Callithrix jacchus: one gene and its partners. The protein of the gene in region 1 binds, or shares a complex with, the protein of each later gene. Links are inferred from orthologs where the notes say so. Each region holds a gene or a part of one and is shown in the gene's direction. Other genes may lie near its edges.

Region 1 (4,005 bases):
GGGGCTTACCACTGCACTGCCAGCAGAATGATACCCAGCCTCACCAACAGGCTCCATGTTCTCTTGCGTCCCTACCTTTGTTCTGTCGTTAGCTTCGGAAAATGAGTGCTGAAAGAGACCATCTGGTCCAATCTCACCTTACAAATGAGGAAACTGAGGCACGGACAGATTTGAGTGACTGACCAGCACCCAGTCAGAGATCAAGTTTGACTCATGAAAAGGAAGCCCAGAGCAGACTTGGGGTTGGTATCAGACAAGATCCAACCAGTTGGTCACCCGTTGAATACCCTCTGATCCCTAAAGTTATGAATCATTGAGTCCCATCAGGCATGGTCTCCTGTCGGAAGCCTCTGTGACGACCCAGTTGGGAGTCTGGACGTGAGCCTCTAGGTGACTGGGAATCTGTCTAGGAGTCCTGGCTCCCCTAGCATTTTAAGCAAACTCTAATCTTTGACTTTTCTCTATTCTCATCCCAAAGACTCGGTCCCTAGTAGGGGAGTGGTAAAAGTCTACCCTAGGAGGGTAAAGTCTGTACTGCCTGGGAGGCGCGATTCACCCACTCAGACAGCAGCCAGCAACTAGGCGCTGAGTCCAGAGTTTCCACCTACACCGCGTAGTTCACGTGCGGCACCTTAACTCCTTTTGACGCCAAATCCCAAAAACTTGAGGGCGTTTGGACTCGGCAGAAAGCCTGCTGGCGGCAATTACAGGACACGTTTCTCGAAGCCTTGAGGCGCGGTCTCTTTCTTCACCCTCCGCGCGGCGAACCTTGACGCGCATTCGGTGACCGGTCCCCAAACGTGACTTGGCATCAAGAGGACACAGCTCCCCTTACCGAGGGAGCTCAGGTCCCGGGCGCGCCGCGGCCCCGCCAGCTTTCCGGGCTGGCGCAGTCCTCGACCCGGGGCGACGGCCAAGCCAGCGAGGGCGGCGGGAAAGTGACGCTGGGCTGGAGAGGCGGGGTGGCGAGTGCTGCCCCGAGGGAACCGAGAGCGGCCTCAGCAGCCGGGTCTCAGGCTGGGCGAGGCAAGGGGGTCGCAGGCTGGGCTCGGAATACTGCCGGGGGTGCCCATCTGACTCCAGGACGCACGGAGGGCGTGGGGCAGGGGCTGGATCTGGGCCCGCCCTGGGTCTTGCCGTCCAGCCCCTCTCCGCCCTGGGGAGGGAAGAAGGGAGGGGAGAAGCCCGGGTCCGCCCCCAGCCTCAGCCCTGCCGAGGCTCTGCGGCGGCGGCGGCTGCTGGAGGGAGACGAGAGCACCTCCCGGAGCGGAGAAACCAGTTTGGCCGGTCCCGCCGTGCGGAGGGAGAAGGGCGGCTGCAGAGGAAGGGTGCACGGACGCGGGGCGGGGGAAGGCGGAGGAGCCACTGGCGAGCCGCGAGAGCCTGAGGTGCCGCCGCCAACTGGACACGCTTCCTGGGGCCCCCGGCCAGCCCCCGTGCGCCATGCAGCGCTAGCGCAGCGGCCGGGGCTGGGGCTGGGCGGGTGGTGGCAGTGGCCAGGTGCGCAGCGAGCGTTCGGAGCGGCGCACACCCGGTGGATGCCCCAGCCGGGGCCCAGCGAGCGCCAGGTAAGCAGAGGCTCGGCGCCGGGGCCCCCGACCTCCCCAAGCCCGCTGGCCGGGCAGGGTCCTGCAGGTCCCCTGGCGGCTCCCGCCGCTCTTTGGAGATCCTAGATGAGGTGGCAGCAGCTGTCCGCGCCCTCGGGCTCCCGAGCCCGCACAGGTGGCATTTGGGCGGAGGTGCTAGAAGCCCCCCGTGGCCTCGGGGTCGGCGACGCAAGGCCAGCTGGGCAGGCAGCGCTGCGGAGAGGTCTATGGAGTTTTCACCTGCCTGGAGGAGGAAACTCTCGGGGAGTGTTTGGGTTCTTCGATGGCTAGCTACACACTGTCCGGGGGTTAAGCCAGGCAGGGCTTGCGGCTCCTTGGGGGGTGCCGCTGGTTTCGGTGCGGTGGCCAGCGCCCCTCTGGGAGTCCCCGGTAACCGGCTTCTGCTGGGGCGCTCTTTGGGAGCAGATGCCAAGGTGTCCGAAAAGGACTTGGGGACCAAATGTATCTGACGGCGGCCCACCTGTCGGGAGGGATGGAGGGGTGAGATGGATCTCCTCCCCAGCTCCTGCTGCAGGACTGGGTACGCCCCAGACGTCTTCCGAGCGCTTTATTGTGGGATGGGAGGGGAGGTGATGGGGAAGAGAAACACTGTTTTTCCGGTGACTCTCGGGTCGTGTCCGCCGGCCCCGCTGAGATGGCTGCAGGCATCTCCTTCCCTCGCCAGTTTGATGCCCGACGCTGTCACCTCGCTGTGTGCACGCGGAGGGACAACTTGTTAGGGGGCTCGAGGAGATGTTTCAGGGCATGGCCCAGTGCTTTAACACCCCCCCAACCCCCACTTCTCCTTCTCCCCAAAGTACAAGAAAAGTCCTGAAGTGTCCGCCCAATTTTTACGAGGGAGGCGTGTGCGTGCAGTCCCTGCCGGGGTGGTGGGGGCGGGGGGAGGCTCGGAGCGCAGATCGGTGGCAGCTGTACGGGAGAGACTGGGATGCAGTACAATGCAAAACGGGGAGGAGGGTTGACACGCAAAAGAGGGACTTGGGCCGCGTTTCTGCCCAGTGAGTCCCGGCTCAACCCGACCCGACCCGACCCCCTTGGCCTGCACGCGCGGCCCGTGGGGGGCTGCAAGCCTTTCCTGGGTAGCTCCGGACGCCACCGAGTTCCTCTCCGGGAAACTGGTCTGCCTATTGGCGGGAGAAAAGATTAGCTCCCATCTTCCTGGTTGCATTGCCTTCAAAATTCTACCCCTACCCATGGGAAATTAAAAAAGAAAACACTAGTGGGATGTTTGGCGAACACCCGGCACACAGTAGGTTATCGAGGAAGGTTAACTACTTTCAGGAACAAGAGCTAAGAAAACGACGCGTGATAAAGCCTCCAGGGATAGTGAATGCGAGCCCATATCAATGGGGGACACAGCAGCAAATGTGAAGTAGAAGGCTAACTTTCACCGGCTAAGACATACTTTTGTGTTAAGCCTAAGATGCCATTCATTAATTCTGGGCCTACTGTTGAAGGTTTTATTAAATCCTATTATAAATGGATAGACTGTGCACAAGATGATTAATGCTTATTAGCTGATTACTTTCTGGGGAGAAGTCAGCCTGCCTGCAATTAACTCCTCCGAATTCTCTTAATGATTTTCATTATGTAGTAGAGCTTCCCTTGCTATAATTTTGGGGAAGAATATTAACCACTTTGTTCATTTGGCATTTTCCAGTGGCTGTATTTTAGCAACTTTTAGTGATTCTTTGGGTGGGTTATTTAGGGCCGAACAAGACTCCGTGGTTAATACTGTCCAACACAGATGCCACTTGTGTGAGCTCAGCTCTCTGGCTCCTTTCAAGGTTTTTTCTGGGTTTTAAGGAACGTACACACCTGCGTGCACTTGTTATTACATCTTAGTGATAGAACTGGGAGAGCTGTTGTTTTGTTTGTTTAATAGAGGTTTTAAAATAATGATTTGGTAAAGCAAATGGCTTCGTAAAAAGGAGACTTCAGTAGTAAGGCAAGTTCAGAATTGATTCCACGTTTAATCTGGTTTTCAGTCTAGGGGATCTTAGCTCTAATGGAGTCACTACCAGATCTGGCTGTAGAATATTCCTTTCCTTTCCTTCTGTCTATTCCTCTTTCTTCTTTCTTTCCCTTCATTTTGAAGCAAGGAGTAGTGGAAAACATATGGATTTAGATGTCCACAGATTTCAGTTCTTTTACTTGCTAATTGTATAAGCTTAAGTGAATTCTTAAATTTTCTGAACCCCTGTTTGCTCTTCTGTTGAGGGGGGAAGATATTATCAATCTCTTTGGATTGTTGAAAGAATTGAACTAGAGAACATATGAATGTTCTTTATACATAGTAGGTGTTTGAATGTTGGTTTCTTTCTTTATTAGACTGCTATCTAAAAATACTATTATTGCATGTATCTGCTGTATTTTTAATATTTTCTTGCCCCTGTAA
Region 2 (4,130 bases), on another chromosome or scaffold:
TGCGACTTGTGGTCATTTTGAAAAAAAATTTAACTGTAAATTTTTTTTTTCTTTTTTTTGAGATGGAGTTTCGCTCTTGTTGCTCAGGTTGGAGTACAATGGTGGATGTCAGCTCACTGCAACCTCCGCCTCCTGGGTTCAAGCGATTCTCCTGCTTCAGCCTCCTAAGTAACTGAGATTACAGGCACGGCCACCATGCCCGGCTAATTTTGTATTTTTAGTAAAGACGGGGTTTACCATGTTGGCCAGGCAGGTCTCGAACTTCTGACCTTTGGTGATCTACCTCGCTTCGGCCTACCAAAGTGCTGGTATACAGGTATGAGCCACGGAGCCCGGCTTAAATGTAAATTATGAGGACCAAGCACTCTTTAGTTTCTCTTTCCTCAGTTTACCTTCTTTAAGGCATTATTGCAGACTAAGCCTTAAAAAAAAAAAAACTTTAGTTATTTGTTTTCAAATGATGTGACTTACTCTCTGGTCTGGATTTCAAAGATGTGAGTATAATGCGGATTGTATAAAATTATTTAAATTTTACAAATAACATACGCCTATTATAGAAATTCTGGAAAATACAGAAAAGTGCAAAGAACAGAAAAAAAAAAAAAAATCCTCCACCCGGTCAATTGAAGTCACCATTATTCACTTTTTAGTTGGGCCCTATATTATACTTCTACGGTTGCTACACTACTCTAGTATCCTGACTTTGTCACCTTTTATGTCATGAGCATTTCCTTGGGTCATTAAATACTAGGCACTTTTAAAGTGTTTACGAAGTATCTCATTTTGCAGTAATGCTATATGTTCGGGTTTTTATAACAGCAAAAGAAAAAGCTACAGCGTATTACAAAACACTTTATCAATGCGCAAAAGAAAAGAAAAGGAAAAGTAAGGTGAAAATCATCAATGGAGAAACATGAGAATCGCTTAATTAGCGGCAAGATAATAGAGCTAAGGTCACATTATTGCTTCTTGACTTTAGGACAAAAGGGGTACACGTCACTCACCTCTGTTACAAGTTTCTATTTGCACCGTGAATGGCGATTTATTTAATTAGATAAAGTCGCGGTTTTACAACCTAAGCAAATACTGCTAGGTTGCTAGTCCTCCGCCGACTCAATCCCTCTTGAGGCGGCCTTGTAAATGCTCCGACTCCTTCAAAGAAAGCCTCGAGGTATAAAGAAAAAGCTGTCCAGCAATCCAGACCTACTGTAGCCACGATACCCATAGTAACAGACAGGTGTTTGCGAACAAAAGCCACGGATAAGAGCGAAGTTGCGCCTACAGCGCAGGCGCGGATTCTCCGTCGTTCCAGGGCCACGCATGCGCCAACGTAGCTTCACGCCCCAGTGATGGAGCCCCATTCTTTGGCGTCACAGGACAGATGATCAGGGTACGTCCGCCTTTTCCTTCCCCCATCTATCCACCTCCCCTTGTCCCTCCATCTTCTCCCTCCTTCCTCTCTCCCTCCCACTGGCGTCTCCAGCTGACTTTCGCTTCCTATCAGCGGCCTTCGGCGGAAGAGTGTCCCACCTCTTCCGCTCCACGGCGGCGGCGACTGAGGTGGTGGCGCTGGCGGCGGCGACGGCGGCGGCGCTCGAGCGGCTCCTGTCAGGGTCAGCAGGCGGACCCCTTTGGTGGTCCACCTGCGCGTCGCGGAGCGGCGCCCCGGGGACCGATGGCGATGAACTATAACGCGAAGGATGAAGTGGACGGTGGGCCCCCTTGTGCTCCGGGGGGCACCGCGAAGACCCGGAGACCGGATAACACGGCCTTCAAACAGCAACGGCTGCCTGCTTGGCAGCCCATCCTCACGGCTGGCACGGTGCTACCTATTTTCTTCATCATCGGCCTCATCTTCATCCCCATTGGCATTGGAATCTTCGTCACCTCCAACAATATCCGCGAGATCGAGGTGAGGGGAGGGAGCTGTGTTGGGAGTTGGCGTTGCTCGGAAGGAGGGTCCTACGCGCCCGCCCCGCTCTTCTCAGCTCCTGAAGGGTGACAAGCGGTCCCCGCGCCGCCCTCCACCCCCCGCCCCCTTCCTCTGGTTTCTTCCTCTTTCTACGGGTTTCCTGAATTTGCAGGTTTGTCCTAGCTTTGTCTTGCTTGCGATTTACGCTGAGACGCAATGAATGTTTAATGCAGAAGATGGGTCAGGTGAAGAAATGCTTCTTCAGTGGGCGGTTTGTGTAGTTCCTTGGGGGGTTAGGGGGTTGTTCATGGAGGTAAAAAGAGAAGTGGGAGTGGATGCAGTTGTAGCTAGGTAGATGTAACTCTGAGGGAATTGACAGGGTCAAAGTGTCATTACCTTTGTGGGGATGATCCCAAGACAGAGCTTAACACCTTGGCCATTGTTGGGAAAAGAACCAGAGTCATAGAGGTGTTGACGACTCCAATGTAAAGAAGCTGTCGCATGTTATTAGGTCACATATGAAAACTTATGACAAATGCTCATAGTACTTTTCGTTTTGAACTAATTCGATATGTTAGTTGTGGGGCAAGATATACATAAAAGATAACCTGAAATTTCAATTTCGGTTTTGCTTTTAGGTTACATTTATTAATGTGCCCTACATGTGCTATAGTTGTTTTGTTTTGCTTTGGTAGATTTTAAACTTTACAAAAAGAGCCAGTGACCACACTCAGGGAATACGTTGTGCACTGCCTACTAAACATTTTACTGATATTAACTTGCTGAGTATGTAAGACAGGACAGGACAACTTGTATTGGGTAAACATTTCGCTGTCAGAGAAGCACAGTATCTTTATTCATCTGCAGGGGTGAAGATGGTTGACAGTGCACTGTATTAATATATACTGTATAGGTGTCCAGTATTAAGCATCTCTCATCTTTTCTTGCTTATCTGAGAATTTTTTTTTCTAAATCTGTTTGAAAGGGCAGGAACTAGTGCCAAGTTCTCTTGATTCCTTCTGTTTTATATATATATTATACACACACACACACACACACACACATTTTAATAAATATTACTTATGTATGTGATTTAATGGGAGTTTGAGAGTAATTTTATTTTTAACTACTATAATAGTGATGGGGTTCCAGTTTAATTTGCAGTGTTATCTGTAAAAGCAAGATTGATGTATTTTTTAATTCTACAGTGCCTACTTACTTAGGCGTTAATAAGTGATAACATTATTAAGAATACTATCTATAGCATAACTAGTTTTAAAGTTTTTTTTACTAAAAATTCATTCTCAATTTAATAACTAAAAGTGTTTCAGTGTGTTTTTTTAGCATGTATTTTAGTTTATCACTTTAATCTCCCTAATAATCCTGCAAATGTAGTACTTATTGTTCTAACCACATAAGGATCACACATTACGTTAGGATATGAGCAAAGTGGTGTCATGTGAGGAACATGGGCATTGGCTGGGGTCAGACAGAGCTGGTTTTAAATTCAAGCTCTGCTACTAACCAGCTCAGTTTCTTGGAAAATTTCCTTAAACTCTCTGAGCTTCAGTTTCCTGCACAAAAGGTAGAATAATTCATGACTTCTAAGGTGTGAGAATTAGAAGCAATGTAAATAAGATGTCTGGCACTAAGGATCTGTCTCCTGATCCTTAATCAAAAGATGAGAAATATAGAGAGGTTAAGATTTGACAGTAAACTAGTTAAGAGTAAGATGTCTTGATTCCCAGTTTTAAGCTTTCACCCTACACTAAGATCCTTACTGCGATGTTAGTAAAGTGGAAGAAAATAATTTAACGTCAGAAATTTGAATGATTTTATTTAAACTTCTTAACATATTAAGATGAAAATAGCAGTAATTTGGAATTGTATATAAATTAGTATTCTCAGAACTCAACTTCCATTAATATTTAATACAGTATAAAAGTAAATATTTAACTTTCCTTAAAATTTTACTCAGTTTTGGAATAAAGTAAGATTCTTCACATTAAGTAGATGAAATAGAAATTTTTTAAATAGATCTCATGTGTTCTGATCTCAAGTTGCCTCAAGAGTCTGCTGTAGTTTAGTCTGGTTAAAAGGGCACCGAAGAGTCAAGGAATTCAGATTGAAATCCCAGCTCTGTCATTCTGTAGTTTGTGATCTTAAGTATAATTTTGAGTCCAATTTCTTTACTTGAAGAACCAAAAGATTCAAATTA
Region 3 (4,202 bases), on another chromosome or scaffold:
CCATTATTTAAAACGGTATTACTTTTTAATTTTAGTGTGACTTATAAAGTGCAATTTGATAATTACATGCTATGATTAATAACTACTATTGGCTGTTTTGATTGTTTCTTACTCCTAATATGTCCCCTATCAGACTGCAAATGCCTTGAGGTCAAGATTCTTTTTTGTCTAATTAGCATAGGACTGAACACTTACTTGGGAGATGCAAACAAAATTCGTGTTGTTCAATTTAACAAGCATTTTAACTTTCCAAGTTTCAATGGGTTTTGAATGACTTCTGGATACAATATATTACACTAGATGTAGTGTAATAGAGAAAACATTTGTATTACTTGCATTTTACAAGCTGGAAGAGAAGCAAGAACATAATACCTAGATAAGACTTAGTAAGAAATCAGAATGTCCCAGTACTCCCTTGTATGTGTTATACCAACTTAGATTTAAAAAGAAAAAAAATAATAAAAAAGCCAGAATCCCAGGCAACGTAGGGAGCCAATTTGAGTTCTTTTTAATAATAAATCCTATAAACCCTTGTAGTTCACCTCCTTAGGCCAGACACTCCAGATGTCTTTGAGGATAGCAGCTAGGTCTTCTGGGACCCTGGATTGGACCTTTTTCTAGTCAGGCAAATATTCTGAAAAGAAAAAGAAATCACATGTAGTCCAGCATATTTTTCTCCTTTCTTGGTTTCTACACTAGCTAGAGAGTTATTTAAAGGCTCTGAACCTCTCCAGTCTTTGATTCTTTTTAAGGATCATTTTATTTTTAGAGAACTTTCCACATTTCCTAGTTATACAGCCAGACTGGGTGATCTGGCCAGAAAATCATTTTCCCTTTAAAAAAAAAAAAAAAAAAAAAAAAGCTAAAATTTGAACGCAGGCCTTGAATTCGAAACAGATCTAGCATAGTGTAATTCCCTGGACACTCCAACTTGAGACTGAAAGCTGAACAAAAGGCGTTTCTGAAGCTAACCTTAAAGACAAAATGGTCTAGAGTCACCTTTTCCCCGCAAATAAAGCAGGATTAACAATCTGAAATCTTCAAGCTGCCAGGACCTCGGTGCTAGCCCTCAGCAAAAATTTCTGCTGGAGGCCGGAGCGCCTTTTGATTTCGGGAGACTGGCCCAGGAACTCTAGTCACTTGGAAGGCGGAAAGGAAGGTGATACTCGAGCCAGGTATGAGCCACTCAGAGGCACCCGGGACCGCCACTCACCTCGGAGAGGAGGAGCTGGAGTCCGTTGACCCGGACGGAGAGGAAAGGCGAGCCTGAGTCTACCGGGTAAGGTAAAAAAATAACACACCCACAAGCTCACCTCGGAAAGGGCGGGCGAGGTTTGGCTCCCGGTGATCCGCGGGGGCGGAGCACACCTGGGCCAAGGCGGAACTGGGGGGAGGGGAGGGTGGGCACTGCCCGTGGGACCTGGAACTAAACTCACCTGTGCGGGAGGCAGAGGCGAGGCTCGGGCAAAACCCCACCTGGGCCGGCGGGAAACCCAGTCCGTGAGCAATCCCCCGGCTAACTCGCCGCGGAGGGGGAGGCGCCCCGCGGCGGGCCCCCCCCTGGTAAGCACGCTCGTCGGACTCCCAGCGTGGCCGCCATGACCTGGAGCGCCACGGCCCGGGGCGCCCACCAGCCGGACAACACCGCCTTCACGCAGCAGCGCCTCCCCGCCTGGCAGCCGCTGCTGTCGGCCAGCATCGCGCTGCCGCTCTTCTTCTGCGCGGGCCTGGCCTTCATCGGCCTGGGCCTGGGCCTCTACTACTCCTCCAACGGCATCAAGGAGCTGGAGTACGACTACACCGGCGACCAGGGCACCGGCAACTGCTCGGTGTGCTCCGCGGCCGGCGAGGGCCGCGCGCCGCCGCCCCCCTGCTCGTGCGCCTGGTACTTCTCGCTGCCCGAGCTTTTCCAGGGCCCCGTCTACCTCTACTACGAGCTGACCAACTTCTACCAGAACAACCGGCGCTACGGCGTGTCCCGCGACGACGAGCAGCTGAGCGGAATGCCCAGCGCGCTGCGCCACCCGGCCAACGAGTGCGCCCCCTACCAGCGCAGCGCAGCCGGCCTGCCCATCGCGCCCTGCGGCGCCATCGCCAACAGCCTCTTCAACGACTCCTTCTCGCTGTGGCACCAGCGCCAGTCTGGCGGGCCCTACGTCGAGGTGCCGCTCGACCGCTCCGGCATCGCCTGGTGGACTGACTACCACGTCAAGTTCCGCAACCCGCCGCTGGTAAACGGCAGCCTGGCGCTGGCCTTCCAAGGCACGGTGCCTCCGCCCAACTGGCGCCGGCCGGTCTACGAGCTCAGCCCCGACCCCAACAACACCGGCTTCATCAACCAGGACTTCGTGGTGTGGATGCGCACGGCGGCGCTGCCCACGTTTCGCAAGCTGTACGCGCGCATCCGCCAGGGCAACTACTCTGCCGGGCTGCCGCGGGGCGCCTACCGCGTCAATATTACCTACAACTACCCGGTGCGCGCGTTCGGCGGCCACAAGCTCCTCATCTTCAGCAGCATCTCGTGGATGGGCGGCAAGAACCCCTTCCTGGGCATCGCGTACCTGGTCGTCGGCTCCCTCTGCATCCTCACTGGCTTTGTCATGCTGGTCGTCTACATTCGCTACCAGGACCAGGACGATGATGACGACGACGACGAGTGATTCCAGCTTTCTAGGGACCCTTCCTGCTTCTTGCCAAAACTCTTGCGAGCTTCTTTTGGCATCTCCCCCTCGCCCCTCATCCGATTCCAACCTCACCTCGCTTTTCCTCCCTTTGTGAATGAGGGGACCAGAGAAAGGAATTACCCCCTTGCCCTTGTGGGGCTTGCTAGCCTGTCTTGCTGTGGGGAGGGATGTTGACTACAGAGTAAAACATCCATGCAAATTCTCCCCACCTCCTTCATGACACCGAGTTGCCGTGTTAGGTTCTTCAATCTGAGAGTGGAAGGGATCCCTATGAAGACTCCTGTTCAACCCCTATTAGAGAAAGAGATTGAGAGACCTAGCAATGTGAAGTAACTAAGATCAGGCAACTGGCAAATGACTGCTGACTCTTGAGTCCAGAGCTTTTGTCACTACAGCACAGTGGTGGTGTTCTTTTCTTTTTGGAGAGAGGGTTGGAATGGAGAGTGAGGCCCACACATGACCTGAAGAGACATGGAGGCGAGAGAGAGAATACACTTGTTAAATATGCAGCTAGATTAGGAGACACCCAACTAGAGATTCAGACACAGTAAGGCTGGGGTGACACCCTCGAAGCTGTGTTTTAACAAACTCCTCTGGAGATACCCATTTTCTCTCAAATTTGGGAATCACGACCCTAAACCAGGTTGGGCAGTCACCTGAGTTCACTTTTTCCGATAGCAGTTTGTTCCCAGGGGCAGTGACAACCATGATATTCCAGGTTTGGTCTGGCACTCTGCCTTGAATGTAGGAAGCTCTTGATGACTTGAATGAATTTTTAAAAAATCACTATCTGGGGAAAACTAGTTGGCATACAGATTTGTAAGTCAGGGTTTATGTTATTCATTTGATATTTCAGTATAAAATTCAGGTACTGTGCAGAAACTTGGAAATGTGAGACCAGTTTGTACAGTTCAGAGGAAATGCTTTACATAGTAATCAGATAGCTGGAAGAGATCTTTGAGGGAGAGTAATTTCCCTAAAGTCACATCTATGTCTCCTAGCTCATTCTTCTTTGTCATTTAATTGTGTGTGTGTGCGTGTGTGTGTGTGTGTGTGTGATTAGAAAGGGCTTCATTCAAATCTTTTTCCTTGGATCTGGAAAAAAAATTTATGTTTTCAAATGAAATCTGTTGATGTCTAGTAATCATATTTCAATCAAGGCAAAGGCATATATAGTCTTATATGTAAACTAGAATCAAGATTATTTGAATCTTTGAGATGACATTAAAACTCAACTAAAAGCATTCAGCTGATTTTGTTGATTGACTAACATCAGTCAATATGGTTAAAGTTATTCCAAGGAGCAATAGCTTTATTTAAAAAAAAAAAAAAAACCTTGTATGGCAAAAGGGAAAAAAGCCCTTTGTGATATCATCTTACCAGTTTATTTGCTAAAAGCAAACAATTATTTGGTATTTGTCAGAATCCTTCAGTGCCTGCTATTACAGCTATTTTCCAGTTACTACTCATTTGATTATACTCATTCACTTAAGGCAGTGCAAGATCTTGAAGTACTTT

The links. Proteins that work in one complex are often made in the same cells at the same time.
Region 2: the proteins of ATP8B1 (region 1) and TMEM30A are in contact, whole or in part, in a cryo-EM structure (PDB 7VGI), measured with the Homo sapiens proteins. The link is inferred for Callithrix jacchus from reciprocal best matches to the Homo sapiens genes ATP8B1 and TMEM30A. Residues at the interface, in NP_001361314.1 of Homo sapiens: Thr138, His359, Trp362, Glu363, Val366, Ser369, Ser370, Trp371, Tyr372, Leu373, Tyr374, Asp375, Gly376, Arg384, Ile388, Phe418, Asn420, Trp421, Asp422, Leu423, Tyr426, Lys430, Asp431, Thr432, Pro433, His939, Trp942, Arg946, Tyr968, Phe971; in NP_060717.1 of Homo sapiens: Lys24, Thr25, Arg26, Arg27, Pro28, Asn30, Phe33, Lys34, Gln35, Gln36, Arg37, Leu38, Pro39, Ala40, Trp41, Gln42, Pro43, Ile44, Leu45, Thr46, Ala47, Val50, Phe54, Ile57, Phe61, Ile64, Ile68, Ile75, Phe119, Tyr121.
Region 3: the proteins of ATP8B1 (region 1) and TMEM30B are in contact, whole or in part, in a cryo-EM structure (PDB 7VGH), measured with the Homo sapiens proteins. The link is inferred for Callithrix jacchus from reciprocal best matches to the Homo sapiens genes ATP8B1 and TMEM30B. Residues at the interface, in NP_001361314.1 of Homo sapiens: Trp362, Val366, Ser369, Ser370, Trp371, Tyr372, Leu373, Tyr374, Asp375, Gly376, Phe418, Trp421, Asp422, Leu423, Tyr426, Asp431, Pro433, His939, Trp942, Arg946, Tyr968, Phe971, Asn972, Gly973, Ser975, Ala976, Gln977, Leu1003, Gln1005, Phe1049; in NP_001017970.1 of Homo sapiens: Gly9, Ala10, His11, Gln12, Pro13, Asn15, Phe18, Thr19, Gln20, Gln21, Arg22, Leu23, Pro24, Ala25, Trp26, Gln27, Pro28, Leu30, Ser31, Ala32, Ala35, Leu38, Phe39, Phe46, Leu49, Leu53, Tyr109, Tyr111, Asn116, Phe117.

Annotation. Positions count from the first base shown.
Region 1 is NC_133514.1:100,856,236-100,860,240, reverse strand, and holds the start of ATP8B1 (phospholipid-transporting ATPase IC), read left to right. Parts: upstream 1-1,205; 5' UTR 1,206-1,568; intron 1,569-4,005. UniProt on the Homo sapiens protein: Catalytic component of a P4-ATPase flippase complex which catalyzes the hydrolysis of ATP coupled to the transport of phospholipids, in particular phosphatidylcholines (PC), from the outer to the inner leaflet of the plasma membrane.
Region 2 is NC_133505.1:80,494,995-80,499,124, reverse strand, and holds the start of TMEM30A (cell cycle control protein 50A), read left to right. Parts: upstream 1-1,330; 5' UTR 1,331-1,381; coding exon 1,382-1,912; intron 1,913-4,130. UniProt on the Homo sapiens protein: Accessory component of a P4-ATPase flippase complex which catalyzes the hydrolysis of ATP coupled to the transport of aminophospholipids from the outer to the inner leaflet of various membranes and ensures the maintenance of asymmetric distribution of phospholipids.
Region 3 is NC_133509.1:95,984,254-95,988,455, reverse strand, and holds the start of TMEM30B (cell cycle control protein 50B), read left to right. Parts: upstream 1-1,402; 5' UTR 1,403-1,598; coding exon 1,599-2,660; 3' UTR 2,661-4,202. UniProt on the Homo sapiens protein: Accessory component of a P4-ATPase flippase complex which catalyzes the hydrolysis of ATP coupled to the transport of aminophospholipids from the outer to the inner leaflet of various membranes and ensures the maintenance of asymmetric distribution of phospholipids.